Rattus norvegicus: one gene and its partners. The protein of the gene in region 5 purifies or fractionates together with the protein of the main gene of each other region. This does not show direct contact. Links are inferred from orthologs where the notes say so. Each region holds a gene or a part of one and is shown on either strand. Other genes may lie near its edges. The genes, in order: Birc2, Nlrc4, Faslg, Tnfaip3, Casp8 and Tradd.

Region 1 (4,216 bases), on a different chromosome or scaffold from region 5:
AGTCTTGCCACCTGAGTTGGTCTGGGGTTCACAATGTGGCCCAAGTTAATGTTGACTGGACAACTGCTTCAGCCTCCAAACTGCTAGAATTATAGTGTGTGCCACCACATCTAGACAAAATTAACACTTTTAAGTAAATTAAATATATCAGTTTTCAGAACAACAAAAGAAAGGAATCAAAATCTATCTTTTTGTTTTGGTTTTTGAGACGGTTCTAAGTAGTCCAAGTTGGTTTCAAAAGTTGTATCAGACTCCTGAATGTTAACACTACATTGGACCTGACATACAAAAATTTTGATCATAGTTCATGATAATTTTATTTTGGAGACAGGGTCTCACTATACTCTCCTAGCTGACCTGAACTTGCTAAGTAGAATGCATGCCTCTGCTCCCAGTGGCTGAGATTAAAGGCATGTGGACGTGGGTGCATTACCTGGCCCATCATATAACTATTTACTGTTTAACAATGTATTGATCCAATATAAATAATTAAATCAAAATTCCTGTTCATCATGGACCATACAGAAGTGAAAGGTCCCTGTAACTCCCTCAAAGAGTCCAACAATTCCTCATTACCATGGACGGCATGCAGGGGTCCAAGCTCTCTTTACTGTATACTCCCACTTATATACGTTGTGGATGTAGTACCTAGAGTAGGAAGGTTCAGATATAGCAGGCAGAAGGGTCGGTGCCGGGGGTGTGTGCAAGTGTAGAGGATGTTTCATCTGGAGAGGATGAGGGCTCTGGGGGTGACTCTAAAACAGTACTCGTGTCCTTTACACCACAGAAGAATACATTTCAGATGGCTAAATTAGTAAACTTTATGTGTATTTTAACATAACAAAAACACCTAACAGTCCATTCATTTTAAAAATGAGGTCCAACTGCACATAGCTGATCAGTGTCAAATACAAAAATTCCAATTTTATTTCACTAACAACTGTGCTCTTAAATTTATTCTAAGCAATAATAAAAATTAAGAGGTTAGGGATGTAAGCAAGAGAATTTGTCAACCAGATGTGAAGCCCTGGGTTCAATCCTCCATACCACAATAATAAACAAATTTTAAAAGTTTTTAAGAACCAATTACCAAGCCTGGCAGTGGTGGTACAGACCTTTAATCCCAGCACTCAGGAGGCAGAAGCAGGTAGATCTCTCTGAGTTCAAGTCCAGACTGGTCTGCAGAGTGAGTTCCAAAGCTACGCTGAGAAACCCAGTCTTGAAAACAAACAAAAAGAACCAATTACCTTGGAAACCATTTGGCATGTTCTATCCAGGGGTCATCTCCGGGTTCCCAACATCTCAAGCCACCATCACAACAAAAGCATTTGACATCATCATTGTGATCCACATAATAAAATCCAGCACTTGCAAGCTGCTCAGGCTGAACAAGAACACTCGATGGCCAGTACAGAAACGTCCTCATCCGAGCAGAGTGTGTCTGCATACTGAGATTGGATACACTAAACCTCTGCGTTTCTGAAGTATTTTCCAGAAATGGACAGTGGGGAAAATGTCTCCTGTGCTCTGACAGAGGATCATCGTTCGGTTCCCAGTTGCTCAGTTTCCCACCACAGGCAAAACAGGCCACCCTGTCTCCAGGCCCTGTGTAGTAGAAGCCTGCTTTGGCCAGCTCTGCTGGGGACAGAAAACTTAATGGCCACATACTGTAAGAAAGAAACCTGGCCTCTTCTGTACTCATGGCATAGCTGCAGGGATTCATCCTCAACGAGAAGTCTTCCACTGCTCTAGAATTGAGAGGGTTTGAGGGCAGGCTGGAATGAATGCCACCTTGTTCCAGAGGTAGCGAGTGTGCAAATCTACTTTTCGCAGGAGACGTGTTCTTAGCTGCAGACTGCAGACCGCCTGAAAGCAAAGTCTGCACAAAGCTGCAGCTGGGATAGAACTGTCTGTGCTTCTCAGTGGGACTGTCCCCTTGTTTCCAGTTGTCCAGCATCAGGCCACAGCAGAAGCACTTGACCTTGTCATTGACACCTGTGTAGTAAAAGCCAGCACGAGCCAGACTCCTCTCTGAGACAGGAACTCCCCTGGGAAAAGCTGAGTATGTGGACATTCTGTAGAGTTCACATGAAAAGTCATACTTCATTTTTTCTTTGTTTTCTTTTGTCCAATTTGACAAGACTGTGCTATTCTCCATTATACCGTTAGTTTACTGGGGTAAGGCACCCTGGACAAGTCTCTGGGAGAGTTCTGTGCAGGAATAGTAATAGTATTTCTGGCAGCTTAAACTTCCATATGAAGCTCCTCACTACTTCACACAAGATCTCTACCATAGACGGGAATGAGACAGCAGACAGCTAACTGGACACATTCACGGTCTTCTGACTGAACTGATGAGTTCACACTCACAGGACAAATCTGTCTCATATGACAAGACACTGCTCGGGACTCTCTGGGAAATCACATGAACTCTTCTGGGTAACCCGAGAGCTATAGACCCAGAACCTACTTCTCGTTATTAGTTATAGGGCAACTGCTGACTGTATATATGCGGGCTCTTTTCCCTTTAAGGACTTAAATCTGATGTCTGAACTACTTCTTTTCCTAGCAAAGGAAAGGACCTGAAGTCTGCATCCTGTATTTCCTCAGAACTAATGTCATACAGCTCATCATTATCACAGGACTCTCTAAAGTGGGTTACATCAACTGCATAACTTCCAGGGAAGTCAGCACAGCTCTACTAAGACTACAGGATTTGTTATAAATAAACAGTGCTTAAAGCATAAACTATTACTCTCTCATTGTTATATAAATCTCATATATCACCACCTTAATTCTGTGTCTATCATTTTAATACATCTGGTCAACAGACAGTATTTTGTACATAATCTTAGACTGCATTTTATAAAGTCTGCCAGTGTTTAAGGCCCAATTCACTATAAGTCTATTATAATTAAGAATGAGTCAATTGGAGACATGGCTTTCTTCTGTTATCACAAATACAAGAACCCTGTTTCACCACGGCTTTTCTGCTGCACAAATGTACCATACTCGTCTTCTTTTCGAAAACTCAGGATTTTATGTAACTATTCATTGTGTATGTGTACTCCAAGCAAACTGCATCTTCTTATAAAAATGTTCAGATCTTCATGTCTGGGCTTATTTCTATGGGAACATGGGAGAACATAAAGGCTCTTGAGGGCTATAAATCTGAAAGAAAAAAAGATATTTTTGAAAACTAATTGCACAGAATTGTCCTCCTCAATTTATTCAATAATGTCTAAAAACGGCCATTCTAGATAACACATCCAACTACAGCAGTTCCTCTCCCAAGTCTACTTAGAAAGGCTCCAAATCAAGGCACACACTGCGAAAGTACTCCTGAAGTACTAACTATGCCTGTCTTTAAAGTGCACAGCGCTGTATTGTTTAACAAGCAAAACTGAAAACAAATGCACATTTCCATTTGACAAAAATTGGTCCCTGATTTCAAGTTTGTTCATTTTATGTATTTTTTATTTACTATTAGACAAAAATGCACCATACTTAATGAACATTTTTTAAGGGACAGAGTCTTATTCAGCAGCCTAGGCTGGCTAGAAAGTCAATGTAACCCAAACTGGTTTTAAAACTTGGAATTCTCCTGCCTCAGCCTCCCAAGTAATAGGAACAGGCTACCAACAGGCTCCTTTTGATTTCTGATTTAAAGCTATTTTGATCTAGCACTTGACTGGAGACAAAAGGCACCTGTTAATAGTGAAAACATGGGTCTGAAGGACTGTTGCTATATTTGCCTTGCAGGTAAAGGACCCTAGGTTTAATCACAAGAAAAAAATTATATATTTTATATTATATTAAAACTATAAATTAAAATATAAATACAAATAATGTATTATAAAATATATTCATACACATAAATATGTGGATATAATACATAAATACAATATAAAATAAACAATATAATAGATATTTTATATTAAAATATAAGTATTTCCTGAGGATTCCCGAGGCATGCCTGCAATCTTAATCTCAACACTTGGAAGATGGAGGTAGGAAGAATGAGATGCTCCTGCTAGACAGAACAGTTGAACTAGCCAGGACTTAATTGGCCACAATAAAGGCACCGGGAAGAGCTCATTAACGGAATCCGTGAAGGACAACCATTCCCTAACAATTCCAAAGCAACTACCACAGACAGCGTCTCAAAACCAAAAGAGTACAAATGCCCATAACACAGAGGCCTGAAACAAGGCTA
Region 2 (4,180 bases), on a different chromosome or scaffold from region 5:
TAATGAGCCCCATGAAGGATTCAATATTCCCACCAGTCCCAGTTTTAGATAACCATAGATGCGCCCTGGCTAACAAAAATCTGAATATCTAGCACTTTTCCAGTGAGAACCAACCAGGGAACACACTCTGTGTAACCCAGGGAGCTGTTAAGGAGAACTGATGCCTGGCATTGCATACAAAGTCATGAATGTGTCAGCATGCTGGCTATCATGCTCACTTCTTGTCTTCCTACCACAACTCAAAGGAGTAGGTGTTTTAGCTCTCACAAGCTTTAAAGATCTCTACAAAGTATTAGACAGTATTCAGTCTAAGCTCTTGTTTCTCTTAGTCTCTAGAGAGGCTACACCATTTTTTTTTTGTTTCTTCCTCTGCAATGCCTTAATCTACACTGGGGTTTGATTTGGTTTGGTTTGGGATTGACCTACAACCTCATGCATTGGAGGCAAACTCCCTACCATTGAACCTGTTGGCCTAATTCTGAGCCAAACTCTCAAATACAGACAAAACTGTGCCCAGATACTGTATGTAGTACACACCGTCTGTGACATCAGAGGCCCCTCTCCCTGTCTTGCACTCTCAGACTACAAGTTCTCTTTGTACTGTAGGCTTGTCCCTTACATGCCTCATGACTGGAGATTGGAGAGTGAAGATGTCTCTCTCAAAGAATTCAAGTCCTCTCCAGTCTGAATTATACTCAGGCAGCCCAACCCTCAGGGATCACTCCTGCCCCACCCCCTAACCCCCATTGCGATCCCCACTGCTAAAGACAGCAGAACAGCTGTCCACACTTGTCTGCAAGTCCTCTGAGGGAGACCCATTGCTGCCCCCTGGAGTCTCACTCATATCTGTGGCTTCTGCATCTTTGTTAAGAAGATAGATATGTCTGTGTTTACTGGAGATTTTCGTTTTATGGCAAAAGGCACGCAAGTCTCTGAGAAGCCTGCAGCCTCTTGCCCATTAGTGTGGACTGCCTCTGAAGCTAGGTATCGTCTCACTTTAAAATGAAGACACCAAGTTCTCTTAGCCCTAAAAAAAAAAAAAAACAAAAAAAAAAAAACAAAAACTTGGTGATATTGAAAAAAGATGTGCTTGGTGTGGCGGCACATGCCTTTAATACCAGCACTTAGCAGGCTGAGGCCAGCCTGGTCTACATAGTGAGTTCCAGGATAGCCAGAAACACACAGAAGGACCTTTCTCAAAGAAAACGAGTAAGATGTATGAGCCGTGTGTGTATGTGTGCGCGTTTTAATGTTTAAAAAGGATACTATGCAACCATATGTATACTATGATATTCTGTGTATAAGATAATCTTATTACTAGCTGTGGATTACCTCAATTCTATAGAACTTAACCATGGAGCTGTAAGATACAGTCAAGACTAACCATGCTGTAACTAGTGGATGGGTAGTAACTAATGACTTTGATGTCATGTAACTAAAGATGTTAGTTTGTTCATTCGTTTGTTTGTTTGTTTAGGGGACAGGGTTTCTCTTGTAGCCCTGGCTACCCTGGAACTCTGTATGTGGACCGGGCTGACTTTGACTCACAGAGCTTCTTCTACCTCTGCCTTACAAGTCTGCGATTTAAGGTATGCACCACCATGCCTGGCAAGATGTTGTTCTTAATCATGATTTGTGCCCATGACTGGGATCCTTTTTGATCACACACGAAAGCCTGTTCATTAATTATTCTTTTTTTCCCTAGAATATCTGCCTCTAGATTAGCACTTCGCGGTGGACCATTGTGCAATGGTCTACATTCTTGTTTGCATTTCCCAGGGTGAGCTCTATTAGCCATACATGATTAGCCAGGGATGGTTTGTGAGAGCCATTAGCCGCTGGTGGCTACTGAGCACTTGATATGCGATAAGAATGAATGTGTAACTGAATTTTGCTTGGGTTCATTGTTGTTGCTGTTGTTTGTTTGTTTGCTTGCTTTAAGGGCCTTGTTATACATCCCAGGCTGACTCGTGATCCCACGTCTTCAGGTCCCAAGGGCTGAGACCCTAGGTATGTGATGCTATGTTCTCATGTGCAATTGGGTTTTATGTCAAATTCGATTTTAAGTTTAAATTTGCAATTAAATGGCCATAGTGGCTAGTGGGTACTACATTGGAGAGCACAGGTCAACACTGGGATCAAAATGGAAACAGAACTTGGGAGCTTCAGAAGCATTCATGTCTGTGCCATTTCTCTGAAGTGATTGGGTATAGTTTTCTGAAATCTAAATGCAAGTCTGTGATTGAACAGGTTAAAGCTGGTATCATCTGGTCACTCTTTTTTTTTTTAAAGATGTATTTATTTATTTTATGTGAGTACACTGTAGCTGTCTTCAGCCACACCAGAAGAGGGCATCAGATCCCATTACAGATGGTCGTGAGCCACCATGTGGTTGCTGGGAATTGAACTCAGGACCTTTGGAAGAGCAGTCAGTGTTCTTAACCGCTGAGCCATCTCTCTAGCCCACTTGGTCACTCTTTACATAAGCCTTACCCCATCTGTCATCTGCCTTTCTTCGTAAGCTCGCCATATTGTTTTTAACGAATTCTCAAGACAACATAGAATATTTAATTGAGAAGCCCACAGATAATTCGTCAGACGAAAGCGTGAATCGCTTTTCCATTTAATATCATCAATGAACTATCAATAATCTCATAATAATAAACTAGACAGATGCTGCTTATTGAATACTTACTTGTGGTGAGTCAAACCGTCCCACTTTTCTTGATCTCAGTAGAAGGTATTTCTTTTCCAAACAGGAAGGCCAAAGACGATCATAATGTTGTAAGGTAAGGCTATCCTAAGAAACTAACAAAAGGAAAACAAAGGCTGAAGTTGCTTGTGACTAGGGCAGCGCTGCTCTTCCACATGAAGAGTGACACCCAAACTATCTAAAACTTGCTCAGGGTCTGGGGAGATCGCTCACAGGCTGACGTGCTTGTTGTGGAAGAGTGAGGACCTGATTTCTTATCCCCAGCACCCACGTAAAAATCTGACCCTAGCATAGAGTGCAGGTAGAGATGGGCTCACTGGCCTCTAGTTTCACTAACCAGTGGTGCCAGGGTTAGTGAAAAACTCTGTCGGGAACAAAAAGATAGAGAGTAATTGAGGAAGACACCGGACATGATCTCCGGCTTCTGCGCGTGCGCGCGCGCGCACACACACACACACACACACACACACACACACACACACACGTAGGCTCATATATTTGAATGCTGAGTCATCAGGAAGTGGAACTGTTTGAAAGGATCAGGAGGTGTGGCCTTGTGGGAGCAGGTATGGCCTTGTTGGAGGAAGTGCAGGATTCGAATGTGGGCTTTGAGGTTTCAAAAACTCTGTGTCTTCTCTCTCTTCTGTCAGTCATGTACCTGGGTGCTATCCAAGGGGATCTGTGGGGCTCTGGCCCAGTGGGAGTGGCCAAAGAGTTGCAGCTCTTTGAGGGGGAGGGGGAACAAGTCAGGCTGCTGGGTTTCTTTGGAGGCTGCAGCAGGCCACAGCAGGCAGCCAGGAGCCTAGGTCAGGGCCACAAAACAGGAAGTGGCTGCAGTAGGCTCAAGGAGCTTCCAGCAACAAAAGCTTCAGGGGGGAATCCTCTTCCCTTAGGGTGCTACAGCTTGATAAGACAGACACTCTCAGAGTCTTTGATGAGATAACTCACGCACTTTATTCCTTGTGATTAGGGTCTTATAAACATTTTGGGGTGGGGTGGGGTCTAAAGGCAGAGGTTTTCTATTGGCTTGGTCTGAGATGTTAGGGAAGCCTCATCTGCATGTGGAGGGGCTTCAGGTGCTGCCCTTACGTGACTGAATCTCACAGTCTTCTCCATGGTGTGTCGTAGTCATGTATCCCAGGACTGGTACATGATCAGGAGGAGATTTAAACTCCTACCACCCTCAATTATGAGACTTTCTGGGGTTTCTGAATCCACTCGACCTTACCAGATTTTCCGTCTGGGGGCAGGGTCCACTGCCCCACGCTCTTCCTGCTGCCTGCTGATCAGATGTAAAAGTCTTAGCTATTTCTCCAGCACCATGTCTGCCTGCGCGCTGTCTCGATGATAATGGACTGAACCACTGAAACTGTAAGCCAGCCCCAATTAACTGCTTTCTTTTTTTTCTTTTTTTCTTTTTTTCTTTTTTTCTTTTTTCTTTTTTCTTTTTTTTTTTTCAGAGCTGGG
Region 3 (2,381 bases), on a different chromosome or scaffold from region 5:
AAAGTCCGCGGGGGGGGGGGGGACTTGTGATGTAGATCCAATGGGAGCAGCAGACGGTGAAATGATGATCTATTTCGAGCAAGAGGAGACAGTCTTGGCATTTGTGGGCTTTCAGCCTAAGATTATAAAGTGAAAAAGTGGTTTAGTACAATTGCTATGAGCCCCTCCACTAGGAAAATAAACATCCAAAATGTGGGTAAATATCACAATAAGAGGTCTAGCATGGCTCTTGTAATCACTTGGAGACTTTAGAGAAGTCTGGGTCTATAAACACTTATTGAGTACTTGCTGTGTGTTGGTCCATTTAATCCTGTATGAATACAAAGGAAGGGGATTAATCCAAAAGAAGAGGCCAAGGAATCCATACTAAATGAATGGACTACATAATCATGAGACTTTGTCCAGATGTAGAGCTCCAGAGATCCCTTTCTTTATGGAGGGGTCCCTAAGCCCGGAAGTATTGGTACTAGTTTAGGTCATAAAGTGTTTATTACAAAGTACTGAAGTTATCCTAATAATCTTCCCCGAGTTTCACTTGAGGCACACACCGAATTTGTCCTAAACACATGGATGATTAAAATGAGGTGGGGAATTTGACAAATGTGTTGAAGAAACTCAGCGGTGGACCATGTTTTAACTCCTAAGTCACTCGCATCAGCTGTCATTCTGGTTAGAACTTTTGTTAAGGGAGGCCCCACAGTTTTGCCTTGGAAGCTTAGAGTGTCAGATATGTGAACATTTCTGGCTGAATGCTCCTCTCTGGTTTATTACAGGGAACCCCCGCTCAAGGTCCATCCCTCTGGAATGGGAAGACACATATGGAACTGCTTTGATCTCTGGAGTGAAGTATAAGAAAGGCGGCCTTGTGATCAATGAGGCTGGGTTGTACTTCGTATATTCCAAAGTATACTTCCGGGGTCAGTCTTGCAACAGCCAGCCCCTAAGCCACAAGGTCTATATGAGGAACTTTAAGTATCCTGGGGATCTGGTGCTAATGGAGGAGAAGAAGTTGAATTACTGCACTACTGGCCAGATATGGGCCCACAGCAGCTACCTAGGGGCAGTATTTAATCTTACCGTTGCTGACCATTTATATGTCAACATATCTCAACTCTCTCTGATCAATTTTGAGGAATCTAAGACCTTTTTTGGCTTATATAAGCTTTAAAGGAAAAAGCATTTTAGAATGATCTATTATTCTTTATCATGGATGCCAGGAATATTGTCTTCAATGAGAGTCTTCTTAAGACCAATTGAGCCACAAAGACCACAAGGTCCAACAGGTCAGCTACCCTTCATTTTCTAGAGGTCCATGGAGTGGTCCTTAATGCCTGCATCATGAGCCAGATGGGAAGAAGACTGTTCCTGAGGAACATAAAGTTTTGGGCTGCTGTGTGGCAATGCAGAGGCAAAGAGAAGGAACTGTCTGATGTTAAATGGCCAAGAGCATTTTAGCCATTGAAGAAAAAAAAAACCTTTAAACTCACCTTCCAGGGTGGGTCTACTTGCTACCTCACAGGAGGCCGTCTTTTAGACACATGATTGTGGTATGACTATACAAGGGTGAGAAAGGATGCTAGGTTTCATGGATAAGCTAGAGACTGAAAAAAGCCAGTGTCCCATTGGCATCATCTTTATTTTTAACTGATGTTTTCTGAGCCCACCTTTGATGCTAACAGAGAAATAAGAGGGGTGTTTGAGGCACAAGTCATTCTCTACATAGCATGTGTACCTCCAGTGCAATGATGTCTGTGTGTGTTTTTATGTATGAGAGTAGAGCGATTCTAAAGAGTCACATGAGTACAACGCGTACATTACGGAGTACATATTAGAAACGTATGTGTTACATTTGATGCTAGAATATCTGAATGTTTCTTGCTAATAAACTCTAATAGTCTTCAAAACCCTTTTATTATCAGCTACTGATGCTGTTTTCCTTTAATACACTAGTATTTATGTTCTGTGTATCTTAATGAAGAAAAGACAAATAAAATTATGTTATAGAATATAGAGATGCATTAAGGACACAGGCTTTGGAAATCGGTGAGATGTGCTTATTGTTTCTTTCCTGCGTGGTTTCTTCATCCATAATGGCTTTGGAGAACTCTGAGAAGAATTTGCACAGGTGAGTAGAGCCGTGTGACAAATTCCCCCATCTTCGTTGGTATCTCTTCTCTGGACCTCACATTACCCTGAGTTTTGTTTATCAGCATCATGACTAATGGTAAGTGGACCCAACTCTTTGTATATTTGATGGCAGCTCATATTTTCCTGGGGCAGAACTATGACAAAGTAGAAAGGACATGGGCTTCATAGTTAAACGGCTGAAGTTGAGTCTTTGTCCTTTTTCTTAGCTTACTTTGCAGTCTTTGGTTGACCTC
Region 4 (4,125 bases), on a different chromosome or scaffold from region 5:
ACAGAGGGATACTAAGGTATATCACACCTCCCAGAGAGGTGGGGGGGGGGGAACAGACACCAGCGCGCTCTATGACTTTAACTCAACTAGACCAACTTTTATTTATGGCTGCCCTTCCAGATCCCAATGCTCAGAGACCTCAACACCCTCCTTCCTTTACCATAAAAGATCGAGCGCAATCAAAGGTGGAGGAAATGAAATCAGGAAACGAACAGGAAGTATTGGAGTGGGGTACCACTCAGGACGAAGACTGGCCATATGACCACCCACGCCAACTATGCACGAATGTGGACTGATGATGCAGAGAGACCAATGTGGATCAATGGCCATCCAGGTCTGCTTCACTGTCCTCACAGACCCTCCTTGGGCACTTGACCACACATCCTAATTTCCTAGAAGACAGAAATGATATAGAGCACCTAGGAAATTTCTCAGCGAAGCTTAATGCCACTCCGGCACCATACTATCCTCCAATGCAAACTCACCAGGTTAAAATAAAAACGGTGTTAAGACTATGCAAGAGGGAAAAGAAATCGTAAGTTCTTGTTCCCTGCTTGGAAGGGAGGGGCTGCTCCTGGGAATTTGCATTGGGATGCTGAGGCCTGGAAGTTATTCTCTGTGCCTGATGACAGTTGCGCCTCGCAAGTAGAATTAGGCAGAAACATAGACAGAATGGGACAAAACTACCACACATACATCTCCTTGGTGATATAGCATGGTCTCTCTCACAATGTCATCACCCCATCCATGAATGGATGCATGCAAGCAGCAAGGCTGGACCACCTATTTAAGGCCAACCCTTGTGCCTGATGCGATAGCTAAAAATGTATGATTTCACTCCTAGCCTTGATATCTGTCAGACAACCCCTGCAGCTAAGGCAGTGATGGTCAGACCCATCTCAGGTCCAGCAGACGTAAGGATGCAGCTCTGCTCATAAGCCAAGTCTTCCTATTCCCCATCTCAATCCCTTGCTGGTCTCCTGATAGCAACCCTGGCGTACAGCATTTGCAGCTCTCAGAAACAGGCAAGGAGAAGTTTTGCATCAGTGAGCTGCACCTTGTTCTATTTTTATGGCTATTCTATTTTGCTCTTCTGGACCTCAAGAACTTTTAGCATAGATCTAAAAGTGGCGGGGGCTCTAAGCCATATGTAAGACATGCAAAGGTCAGTATCTGTCAGCCCACTAAGACCCCGTTCACGGACTCTGCCTTGCACTGCGTGCAAAAGTGCCTATTTAAGACAGAGCTTAAACCTCCCTCTGCCCAAGTTTCCAGTTCTTGGACTTCCCCACATTTAGAGAATAAAGTTTCCTGACATATCATTGTAATGTTTTATGGGTAAAAAAAAAAAATTAAAGCACTACCCTTAACTTTTAAAAATATATTTGTTACCTCACTCCCTTACAGATAAATTTCCCAATTTTTGTCACAGGATCAATAAGGTTCTTCAGAACTTACTCACCAAAGTCTTTCCCCCACTTTTATTTTTCCACTCTGAACAGATTTTTTTTTTTTGCCCGCGATGTGGAAACTTCTGTATTATTTATAAACAGATACCTCGGGCAATTGTTGGGAAGTACCCCTCCAAAAATCTATACAACGAGCTGCAAAAGATCCAAGTAGCATATCAGACCACAAGAATGAGCCCTGATCAACCGATAATAATCTGCTCAATAATCTAGGACATCAGCGTATGGAAGGCTAATGAACAATAATCAGTTCCAAACGGTGCCCCCCCCCCTCCACTTGACCAGACCAGCTTTCCAAAGAAAGATGAGAGAACAGGAGAACTAAAAACAAAGCATGCTCCAGAAAGAGCTCTTAATACCTCAGCTTTCCTGAGAGGCCAGGTGGCAGGATGTGGGACGAAGGACCCGGACTGACAAGTCACAGTCTGAGTGTGGAGTCAAGGCTGCAGTAGGGAGTTTTACATGCCACCAAACGTGGACTCCCCAGCAAGCAGGCCAGAGAATCATTTCTGCATGCATACTCTTATACCGGAGCAACTAGGGCCTTAGTGGCAATCTCAAAGCACGCCCCTCCCCTCCACCTCCCTCCCCGCAACCCTCCTCCCACATTGATCACTAAAAAGTTGGCTGGCTGAAGCCTCCAAGTTGGATTTGGTGGCCTCTGAGAAAACCATCCCCTGTTGGGCCAGTAATGCACAATATGGGAAGAAACCCCAGCGCGACTCTGCAAGGTCTACGTGCCTATGAACATGCTGCACTTGATTTCCAAAGGGGGGGCTGGAAGAGTGGGTACACCCACGACCACACGACCTAGGGACCCGAAGGGTGACTATTCATCAGCCAGCTGCAGCTCACGTCACCCTGCAGGATCGGAAAGGAATAGCTAGCTAACCAGACGGCTGGAGAAACTTAGGGCTGTCAACCTAAACACTTGGCACCCGGACCTCAACTCTGGCCAACAATACCCTCACCCCAGAACTCCTGCAAAGCCATAGCAAGACAGCTCCATACTGAGCTGGCCGTGCACCCTGAATCTGGCTGGCACTGCACCCCTCTGGCCGTGCACCCACCCCCCCTGTATCCTGCTAGCCGTGCACCCCAGCCGGAGTACTGCTCACCTCCTGGGGCCGCACGGAGCCCTCGCAGAGCCCAAGTGGCCGATCAGCCGTCACTGGCGCGAGCCGTAGCCGGGGGTCGTGGTTCGGGTCGTGGTGGGGGTCGGGCCGAGGCGGAGCCCCATGGACGCCCGGTCGGGCTCTCTGGTTGGGGGTGTGCACGTCTCTCGGCGGCCTAGCTCACCGCTCCGCCTCCGGCTCCGAAGGCTGCAGACTGGGCAGTTCCCTTTTTTTGCCTTTCAGTTGTATGCTTCGCCACAGGGGGATTTCCGAGGGACTTTCCAGTCACGTGACTCCCGCATGGCGAGCGGCCGGCCAGCAGAGGGCGCTCGAGGCCGTCCCCGCCCCGCCCGGAGAAACTCCTAGGTCCCGCCCCGGGGTGTCCCCGCGTGAGTCACCTGGGCATTTCGGAAGCTGCCTTCCACGTCACATCCATGTGGAAATAGTGGTGATGGGAACTGGAAATGCAATAGGTTCTTTTTTATAGCCTCTTTTCTGAAGAAAATCAGCTGTGAAAAGGAAGGGAAATTAGAAAGAAAACCCTAAAAACCACCCAGACACACAGGACCTCAGGCATGAAGCCGGCTTTGAAGTCTGGGCTGTGCACGTGATGGACTTAAGAAAGAACCGTTCTCAGGGTCCTGAGGGGATTGAGAGAAAAGGCCACAGGGTTCTCCAGACCCTGTGTCAGCTTCAGGCTGGATGCAATGCAGAGTGAGATGAGACACCATGATCCTGCAGTTTTTGAGTTACAGGGGCAAGGTCAAATTCAGAGAAAATTAAATTCACCTCCATCACCCCTACAACCCTCCATTTGCTCCGTTTCTCCTTTATTTCCGTGCTCCAAGGAGCATTAAGGTTTAGAAAGTGCTTCAAGTTTATTACTGTCTCCCCCCATCCTCTACAGTTGTTTTCTTAGGTGTTGTTTGGTTTGCCTGAGAATTAGTTCACCCCAAGAAGCCACTGGTGGAGAACCTTCCATATTGTCCTGATCCCCGACTACAGCTTGCCTTTCTCTAGAAGGGAGAAAGCTTCGGACACAGGGGCTTGAGCTCTGCAGAGAGAGAGAGAGAGAGAGAGAGAGAGAGAGAGAGAGAGAGAGAGAGAGAGAGAGAGATGCTAAAATGCTTTTACCTTCTTGGAGTTTTTCCTCTAGTGTCCCCTTGGCCGAAATCCTAGAAAACAGTAACGCAAACCAGGCAGATAGTCCGTGCCACTGTGACTTTAGGTATGTTCGTCAAGTTGCCAAGTTGCCAGGAAGTATACTGCACGTTTGAACTAGAAACATGTGTTCCTGTCCCCAGGAGTGACTGGGCTAGGTGACAGAGCACAATGGCATTTTTTAAATTATTATTTGTAAAGGGGGGCTTGAAGCAAGAGTACTGGCCACTACTCCAAGATTGGTCTATCCGCTAACTCCCCCCACCCCCTCCACATATCCCTCCACCTCCCCCCGACACACACACACATCCCTCCCTACACCGTTTCTATTTCAAATCTGGTAATATTTGTCTTCTTACAGATGTTTTCAGCTTCGGACA
Region 5 (4,051 bases):
GCAAAAGGGGAGACATTACAACTGATTATCTATGAAATTTAGAAAAATCATATGAGGGGCTGGAGAGATGGCTCAGCGGTTAAGAGCACTGACTGCTCTTCCAGAGGTTCTGAGTTCAATTCCCAGCAACCACATGGTGGCTCACAACCATCTGTAAATAAAATAAATAAATCTTAAAAAAAAAAAAAACCGAAACAAACAAACAAAACACATGGATTTAAAAAAAATCGTATGGATATAACTGAAAAACTTTCATTTGACTCGCTTTTAGAATATAAAAAAAGAAAAAGAGATGAATTTCTAAATTTTTATTAACTAGTAAAAAGAGGCCCCCAGTGTACTTCACCTCTGATGGGCCTGGGGTCCTGGGCTTCGAGCGTCTGCAACTTCCACAGCTGACTCTTCTTGTTACACAGAAGTGTTCTCCCTGCTTCTAGTTCCATAGTTCCCACTGACAGCCATTAGAAACAAAAATAAAAACAAACAACAACACCAAAAACACCCACCTAAAATCAAAGGTTTTCCTACAGCCATCTCACCAAAGAGGCAAACACTGGGCCCTTCACCATGTGAACAAACCTGTGTACAAACACATAAGCTGCTTGCTGGGAATTAGTTAAAATACTGTCTGGTGTTAAAGAGAAGAAAGAGAAAAGAACTTTGAAACTGTGTTTTCTGCTACCTAACACAGAATAAAATAGAAGGTAAGTTTTCCGAGTAAAGGGCCCCAAGTTTACAGCTGAGGGAACTGAATAAGTCACCTGAAAGTACGTGTCCACCCTCAAGGTCTGGGCAAAGGTGACACCACCATATCAGGACTTTTAGCTGGCATTTGATTCTGCCAGGAACCTGGGCAACATTGGAGCAGCAGAATCAAATCCTGTTTGTGCCCCCAATCCACTCCCGGAGTTACTCCAGCATCTTCTGAAACCTCTGCCCCAGTTCCGGCTCACTTCTGAGAATTTCCTGTTCAAGACCACAAACTTCCTGAGGGTAGCAACTGAAGCTTTCACAGTAACACCTGAACCATACAACAGCAGCCTGAAAATCATCAATGAAAAGAAACTCTGTAAAGAGGCAATGGGTATGAACGCGGAATTCCCCGATGGGCACTAAGCCCACACAGATCATAGGATGCCACATTAAATCTGAGGAATGGTAAATAAAGCAAGAAGATGCACACTTTCTTATTAGAGAATTTTAAGTTGAAAGATTAAAAAAAAAAAAAAGCAGCCTGATCGAGTGAAGTGGCCATGCTTGCTGTACAGGCTGTGCGAGAAAGCCTGGTAGTTCCTGGACTTAACCCACAACAGAAATGACCAGGCAAAACCGAATAACACCTAAATGACCCCAGGTGTCACATTCCTCCCCACTGGGGAAGAGACACTGAGGCATACAGCCATGAACAGCAGCTCTTCCGTGTCCACATATGAGTGCTTGGGCCTTCTTAAATAGGATTTGTGAGAAAGGGGAGTGCTAATCACCCTAATGCTAATTCGATTACTACCATGCTTATTAAAAAAACGAAAGATTTGGTGTTGAGAAGGCTCAGGAGTTTAAGAGCACTCACTGCTCTTGCAGACCAACTGGGTTCAGTTTCCAGCACCCATATGGTGACTGAAACTGTCTGTAGCTCCAGTTCGAGAGATCTGTGGTCCCCCTGGACACCAAGTGCACATACATACATGCAGGCAAAACACTCATAGACATTAAATTAAAATAGAGATAAATACATTTTAAAGAATGAAACTGAGACCTAGCCAAGCAGAAGGCACTTAAAGGACTCCCTTTAAAAAATAGTAAGAAATAGAAATATGACAGTATGATAATTCCTCACTGGTACATAATGACAGTCACTGTTATAACTGCTTAGCATGTAGAGGAATTATTGGCCTCAGGCCACCTCTAGCTCTCCCTCTCCCCAGCCCCCTTGCTGTTTTTGTGGTTTTAAGTGCAGAGCTGGTACCCTGTCACTCCCACCCCTTGCACTGCCAGCATTCCTGAGGTGGAAGCAGAAAGATCAGAAGTTCAAGAAGCTCGAGGCCAGATCTTAGAGGGAAAAGGGTCAGGGAGAGGGGAGGGAGAGGGGGAGGGGAGGGGAAGGAGGTGGGGGAGAATGAGAGAATAGGAGGAAGGGAAAGGGGAAGGCAAAGAGAAGAAAGGGGAGAGAACAGGGGAGGGGAGATGTTGGAGAAGTAGAAAGGGAGAGAGGATTTGGGATTAGGGTTGGGGGACGTCTCTTAAGAGTTGGGAGGAGCCTGAAAATCGCCGGAGGAAACCCAACGCAAGTCAGAGAACACACAGTGATGCCACCGGATAATTAACCTGGCTCTAGGTCCTGAGCCGGACTACAAAGAAAGTTAGCCTAAGAAATCGAATAAAGTTTTCTGGAGGAGGCGATGACCGTACTCCGATGGCCGCATTTCGGGGAGCGTCAGGCTAGATTGCCACCGTTGGGATCGCGGCCTGCTGGTAGGAGAGGAACGAACCGGACTACTCTGCAGCACTCACCTGTCGCCGAGTCCCTGCCCCGCCAGTCACAGCTCCCCTCTCGGGCGAGCAACCCCTGGGAGACGCTCTCCGCCTCCGGCTGCCGCTAGCCGGGCTCACTTCCTGTTCCCTGGCCAGTCCGCCAAAGTTTACTATGGATTCAAAGAAGCGGAACTATAAAACACCGGAGGTCAGAGGGAGGAGAAAGGCAACTGAGAGAACTAAGGAGCAGAAATGACTAATTTCTGATAATCACTAGGTGGCATAGGCTGCTTCTCTCTGCCCGCCTTAGGAGCGCCCGCCAGTTCTTAAGGACACTTCCTCATTCCCCCCACCCTAACCCCACCTCCTTGCATACAGAAACCCTATACCTTGTGACTGGATGGGTAAACCAGCTCTAGAAATGTCAGCACTCAGGGAGGTAGGGGCAGGAAGATTAGAACTGGTAAGTTCAGGCTAGCCCAGAGACACTGGAAACACACACACACACACACACACACACACACACACACACACACACACACACACACACACACACACACAGTTCAAAGGAGCCAACTACAAGAAGAAAGTGATTTCGCACTGAATCAAAAAACCAGCAAGGGAGACAGAACGGAACTGCCTGGTTCACACTGTGAAGTTAGATGGTCAAGGGAGACGCTGAAAGAGAAATTTTACTTTGTGGCATGGTCTGAACTCAGCACTGAACTCATGGACCCGTCTCCCCACCAAGATCATATTATAAGGCTGTTCTTAGGGTCACACGGGCCTGCAGTTGAAGCGTTCGGAAGTACACACACTGGAGAAATCCTGGCTCCTAGCCGTGTTCTAGGAATTCATGGTAACATGTTTTTCCACAGTGCTGAGGCAGAATTATGGAGTCCAGAACATCAAGTAGATACAAAGACTAAAATCCCATTTTACCACATACTAACTTCCTTCCCAATACTTGGAGTTCAGAGTGAGCAGTGTGATGAACTACAATTTAAACTGGGCTACAGAGTAACAACTTGTCTGAAGCGGGGTGGGGGCGGGGTTAAAAGGCTGGTCAGGAAGTATGGTCAGGCTATAAAAAACCTCAAGGCTGCTCCCAGAGACTCACTTTCACAACCTCCCCCCAGGTACCGCCACTAGCAAGGGACTAAGTGCTCAAACCTACGGGGGACATTTTGTCAAACCACACCAAAACAGTGTTTCACAAAACCAGTGAAATCTGGTTAAACCAGACCAGTATGTCACCAACACAATCCAGCTGCTACCTGGAGGGTTCCCGAGTGAGGGATGCGTCTGCTAAAGCCACCAGATTGTAATCCAAGACCCATACGAATGGGCCAGTTGTGGTAGATACTTCGTAGTCGGGCTACCCCACCACAGCAGGTATGATTATTTATTGCTGATGAGCAATTAAAGAACAGGGTCAAATGATTAATGAGAGGAGAGCAAAACAGCACCCTGGACAGCACACAGCACACGAGCCTTCTGGGTCTCGGTCTGGAAAAGGTATAATCAGCTGTTCTGTGCATTTGATCATATTGTCTGACTGCCTTACAATTGCTACTGC
Region 6 (4,102 bases), on a different chromosome or scaffold from region 5:
CGACATCCTCAATGCCACATGCTATGTAAAATGTCTGAGTCTTACATGCTTCAGTCTCCGTGGAAACAAGGCCAATGACCTCAGTAGAAAAGGTGGGAGAGGCGGGGGTGTGTGTGTTGGAATCTTGGCTGTCCTGGAATTCACTCGGTAGCCCAGGCTGGCCTGTAGCAGATCCACCTGCCTCTGCCTCCAATGTTAGCATTAAAGGCGTGCGCCACCGCCTGGCTGTAATTTTAATTTTCTAATTCAGGCACACCGTAGATGTTTTAAGCACATACTTAAAAGATCACACGCACAAACCAAACCCCAAGTATAGAGTGATTCACCAAACCCCTGGTATCCTTCACTAAGAAGACAGGAAGAACCCCTCTCATCTTCCTCAAGGCCCCAACAGAGCCTACTGTACCCAAAACCCTGCCCCTTTCTCCTCTCCACCTGGCTCACTATTCCCCTGAAGGTGACTAACCACAACCTGGGCTAGACCTCAGTATTTCCACAAGTCTATAAAAGGGTTACATTTTATTATCGCTGCCAAGTACTTAGGTCCCACGATGAGAATGAGCCAAGGGCAGGGAAAATCGTGCATCCTGCTCGTGACAGTTTTTGTAGCACCTTGAATGACATCTAGGTTTCAGAAGGTCCAGTTTCTTAGTGAGTTTCTGCAGGAAGTCCTCTTTCTGTACCCCTGCGGTGCTTGCCTGGCTCCTGGGGAGGGGGAGGGGCAGTTAGTTCACTCCAGCAGCTCAGCTAGGTAGGGGAGTGTGTACGTTCTCCGAGTCCAGTGGATGGCAAATAGCCAGCAGTAGCAACATCAGCAGTAAAAGGACCCCAACAGTCCCCAGTGGGTTCCAAACACTGGCTGAACTGGTTGACCAGTGGCCCTTTCCCACAGTACTAGACTTAAGCCTGGCCGCCTTCCGGCTCCGCCTGGCCTAGCAGATCTTCTGCTAGACTAGTGAGCTCGTTCTCCTCCAGCGCCTCCACTAGGCGTTGCAGTGTGGCACGGCGGCCCTCGGCTTGTATGAAACGGCGCAGCAGCTGGAAGGCCTGCTCATATAGCCCATCACGCTCATACTCATAGGCCAGCGAGTCGAGGGCAGGATCCCTCAGTGCTCGACAGCTACGCTGCAGCGAGCGCCCTACCCTGCGCCACTTGAGGCCCACTGAGCGCGCGAATGTCTGCTGGTCTTGCAGATTCAGTGGCCGGTTCACTGCGGAGGAAGGGAGGAGAGGTAAGTAAGCATCGGTTCCCCGGAGTTCGCACCATCCCGCACCCGCCTGGGGATACCTGGGCCCAGCCCTATTCCGGCTCAGATCTACCTGCTGGTGACCCCGCTTCTGCTGGTGAACCTCACCTATGAGCTGACCATGGAACAGAAAAGTCTGGCCGGCGGCCGGCAGTGGCTTCTCCTCGGCCGGAGAGGAAACCAGGGACTTCGAACCTGCTGGAGCTACCTGTGTGGCTCCACCCTGGCCAGTGGAGTCACACGTCAGTTTGCAGAACTCATCCTCCAGCTCCGCGAGTTCTTCGTCCCTGAGCCGGTCGGGCTGCGCAAAGGGGTGCACAGTAAGTGCGGCTTTTGGCCGCAAATCCCCACCCATCCCATCCTAACTACAGACACCAGCACCTTCTGGGCTAAGATGTAATTCAAACAGCGCTCTTCGTCGGTCAGCCAACTGTCCAGCTGCTCCGCACCAGCACGCAACTCCAGTTGCAACCGCACTGCTTCCTGGGCAAGCGCCGCGGCCATGCACCTCTGCAGTGCGGTGCGCAGCGCCCCCTCGCGGTAGGCTTGGAGAAAGCGGCCGCATAGCAGGCGCCCGCAGAAACGCAACTGAACGATGAGCTGAGGGTCGCTGCAGTGGATCTTGAGTATCTGCAGTACGTCGGGGCTGTCCCCACTCTCTGCGGAGGCGATCAGTCAGGCCACCCGCTGTCCCCAAACAGGACTTTTCTTCCAGCAGCCAGAGGAGGAAGCTAAGCCCGTAGTCCGGCCTATTCTCCCAACCCCCACCTTCAGCCTCTACTGCTCTCTGCCCAGAGAGAACGGAAAGGGTAGGTACTGGGGAGGAGTTTGGGCAAGGAATGCTGCCGTGAGAGAGGAAGAAAAGACAGAAAAGTGCAATTAGTAGCAAAGAGAACTGGCTGCTCAGAAGTAAAGACAGATGTAAATCAAGCTGACATTAGAAGAGAAATGGGTAGATCTGGAAGGCACAGGAAAGTGTACAAATGTTTACACTCAATGACACATACAATAAGCAAAGGAAGATTGCAGACCCCACACAGCCGGGAGTGCTCCCTCTCTCCTCATCCCTCTCCCAACCCCTCACCCAAATAATCTTTTTCTTAAAGAGTGTCTGAGCCTAAACCACAAAGCAAAGAAGTGGGCTCTCAATCCCAGTCCCTCCTACAAAGTCCCAGAGTCACTACACCTTCCCAGCCACACACACCTGACAATGCAGCCTGCAGAGCCTTGTAGATTGCCACTTTCTTCTTGGGATCTGTGTAGGCTTCAGATAGGACCACTTTGTCCATCGAAGACTCCAAAAACAGGTATGCACTGCCCACCCACTCCTCATGGCCATTCTGATCAGCTGCCATCTTGCCTCCTAGAGATGCAAATAGATCATCTCCAGACTTGGAAACAACTATCCAGTCTCATGTGGTCCAGCTGTCCTTCCACAGAGTTCCCAGCTTTTGACTCTGCTCATAGTCCTGCCCAACCCAGGCATGAATCCCTCCACTGCCTTTGACAAGAAGTCTAAGGTCACAGTAACAGCAGAACAGAGGTGGGTCCTAGGCCAGTATGTTTCTCTTATGAAAGCTGACAAAAGGTATCTTCCACCTGAATGGTGCGCATGCTCCAAAACCAGCCAGACTACCGGACTCGTGTCTTAGCTCTGCCTTCAGCTTAAGTTCCCAGAGCCTCTGCAGGACAAAAGGACCACCCACGCTCCCCCTATACCTGGCTCCACTTAATTGTCCCTGCCTAGATCCAAGTTCAAATGTGAAAAGCAAGGCTGGTCAGTCTACATATCCTGTTCACCACTCTTCAGGACCCAGTCAGAACTTGATATAGGGCTCAGACTGGACTAATGACACTCAACTCTGTATTGCTGGGTGGACCACTGATAAAGAGGCACTAACTTCCCCATCTTTGGTGTGGAATTAAAGGGACAGAATAGATCTCTGGCTCCTGCTTAGGAAGAACCTATCTGAGGGAAGGAAGAAGTCTACATGGAAGGAAATAAAGTCAAGAGATGAAGACACAATTGTTTTTTGTTTTTCTGAGACAAGGTCTATGTCTGTGATGGACTAGTTCCTGGCTGGATTGTTTGTTTTTTGTTTTTCTGAGACAGGGTCTATGTCTGTGATGGACTAGTTCCTGGCTGGCCTGGAACTCACTCGGTAGACCAGGTTGGCCTCCAACTCACAGAGATCCACGCGCTTTGATTCCTTCCCAAGGTTTGCCTGTATGATCTATGTATTACATGCATGGCTGTGCCCATGAAGGCCAGAAAAGGGCATCAGATTTCCTGAGACTGGAGTTACAAATGGCTGTGAGCCACAGCATGGGTGCTGGGAATCTAACCGGGTTCCTCTGGAAGAACTGACAGTTCTTTTAACTGTTACACTGTGCATTCCATCTCAGACACAAACTTTTTGGCGGGGGAGAGGGTGTTTCAAGATTTCCCTATCCCTTTATAGACCAGGCTGGCCTCTAACTCACAGAGATCCATCTGCCCCTGCCCCTGCCCCTGCCCCTGCCCCTGCCCCTGCCCCTGCCCCTGCCCCTGCCTCCCGAGAGCATGTGCCGCCATGCCTGGCTGAGGACAAACACGCTTAACTACGGATCCAGCTATCCCTGACCATCCTGACTGCTCAGTTATGTAAGCTAAATCATTCTACTTTGTTATTAGGCCCTTGTTTTCTTCAACTATCCCTAAACAAATTTCCTAACTGTCCACACTAGAACAGAGTCTTTCAACACGAAGATCATTTCCATCCATCTCCTGCCACAATCCTGCTTCTAAATCTCTAATAGAGCTCTGGCTCTGGTCAAGGTTAAGAATCACCTAGACAGGGCATCATCTAGACTGC

Evidence for each region.
Region 1: the proteins of Casp8 (region 5) and Birc2 purify together in Homo sapiens (affinity purification with western blotting; 4 studies listed by BioGRID and IntAct, with this or other methods). This does not show direct contact. The link is inferred for Rattus norvegicus from reciprocal best matches to the Homo sapiens genes CASP8 and BIRC2.
Region 2: the proteins of Casp8 (region 5) and Nlrc4 purify together in Homo sapiens (affinity purification with western blotting; 3 studies listed by BioGRID and IntAct, with this or other methods). This does not show direct contact. The link is inferred for Rattus norvegicus from reciprocal best matches to the Homo sapiens genes CASP8 and NLRC4.
Region 3: the proteins of Casp8 (region 5) and Faslg purify together in Homo sapiens (co-immunoprecipitation; 8 studies listed by BioGRID and IntAct, with this or other methods). This does not show direct contact. The link is inferred for Rattus norvegicus from reciprocal best matches to the Homo sapiens genes CASP8 and FASLG.
Region 4: the proteins of Casp8 (region 5) and Tnfaip3 purify together in Homo sapiens (affinity purification with western blotting; 3 studies listed by BioGRID and IntAct, with this or other methods). This does not show direct contact. The link is inferred for Rattus norvegicus from reciprocal best matches to the Homo sapiens genes CASP8 and TNFAIP3.
Region 6: the proteins of Casp8 (region 5) and Tradd purify together in Homo sapiens (affinity purification with western blotting; 6 studies listed by BioGRID and IntAct, with this or other methods). This does not show direct contact. The link is inferred for Rattus norvegicus from reciprocal best matches to the Homo sapiens genes CASP8 and TRADD.

What each region holds. Positions count from the first base shown.
Region 1 is NC_086026.1:13,268,741-13,272,956, forward strand, and holds the start of Birc2 (baculoviral IAP repeat-containing protein 2), read right to left. Parts: upstream 2,801-4,216; 5' UTR 2,159-2,800; coding exon 1,248-2,158; intron 1,167-1,247; exon of another isoform or gene 1,116-1,166; intron 1-1,115. UniProt on the Homo sapiens protein: Multi-functional protein which regulates not only caspases and apoptosis, but also modulates inflammatory signaling and immunity, mitogenic kinase signaling, and cell proliferation, as well as cell invasion and metastasis.
Region 2 is NC_086024.1:26,745,759-26,749,938, reverse strand, and holds the start of Nlrc4 (NLR family CARD domain-containing protein 4), read right to left. Parts: upstream 2,801-4,180; 5' UTR 2,697-2,800; coding exon 2,696-2,696; intron 1-2,695.
Region 3 is NC_086031.1:76,687,743-76,690,123, reverse strand, and holds the end of Faslg (tumor necrosis factor ligand superfamily member 6), read left to right. Parts: intron 1-773; coding exon 774-1,168; 3' UTR 1,169-1,881; downstream 1,882-2,381. UniProt on the Homo sapiens protein: Cytokine that binds to TNFRSF6/FAS, a receptor that transduces the apoptotic signal into cells. Involved in cytotoxic T-cell-mediated apoptosis, natural killer cell-mediated apoptosis and in T-cell development.
Region 4 is NC_086019.1:15,541,180-15,545,304, forward strand, and holds the start of Tnfaip3 (TNF alpha induced protein 3), read right to left. Parts: upstream 2,801-4,125; 5' UTR 2,588-2,800; intron 2,033-2,587; exon of another isoform or gene 1,829-2,032; intron 1,605-1,828; exon of another isoform or gene 1,463-1,604; intron 1,452-1,462; exon of another isoform or gene 1-1,451. UniProt on the Homo sapiens protein: Ubiquitin-editing enzyme that contains both ubiquitin ligase and deubiquitinase activities.
Region 5 is NC_086027.1:67,756,770-67,760,820, reverse strand, and holds the start of Casp8 (caspase-8), read right to left. Parts: upstream 2,801-4,051; 5' UTR 2,512-2,800; intron 1-2,511. UniProt on the Homo sapiens protein: Thiol protease that plays a key role in programmed cell death by acting as a molecular switch for apoptosis, necroptosis and pyroptosis, and is required to prevent tissue damage during embryonic development and adulthood.
Region 6 is NC_086037.1:50,045,557-50,049,658, forward strand, and holds Tradd (tumor necrosis factor receptor type 1-associated DEATH domain protein), read right to left. Parts: upstream 2,603-4,102; coding exon 2,452-2,602; exon of another isoform or gene 1,907-2,451; coding exon 1,629-1,906; exon of another isoform or gene 1,549-1,628; coding exon 1,356-1,548; coding exon of another isoform or gene 1,321-1,355; exon of another isoform or gene 1,237-1,320; coding exon of another isoform or gene 1,212-1,236; coding exon 901-1,211; 3' UTR 501-900; downstream 1-500. UniProt on the Homo sapiens protein: Adapter molecule for TNFRSF1A/TNFR1 that specifically associates with the cytoplasmic domain of activated TNFRSF1A/TNFR1 mediating its interaction with FADD.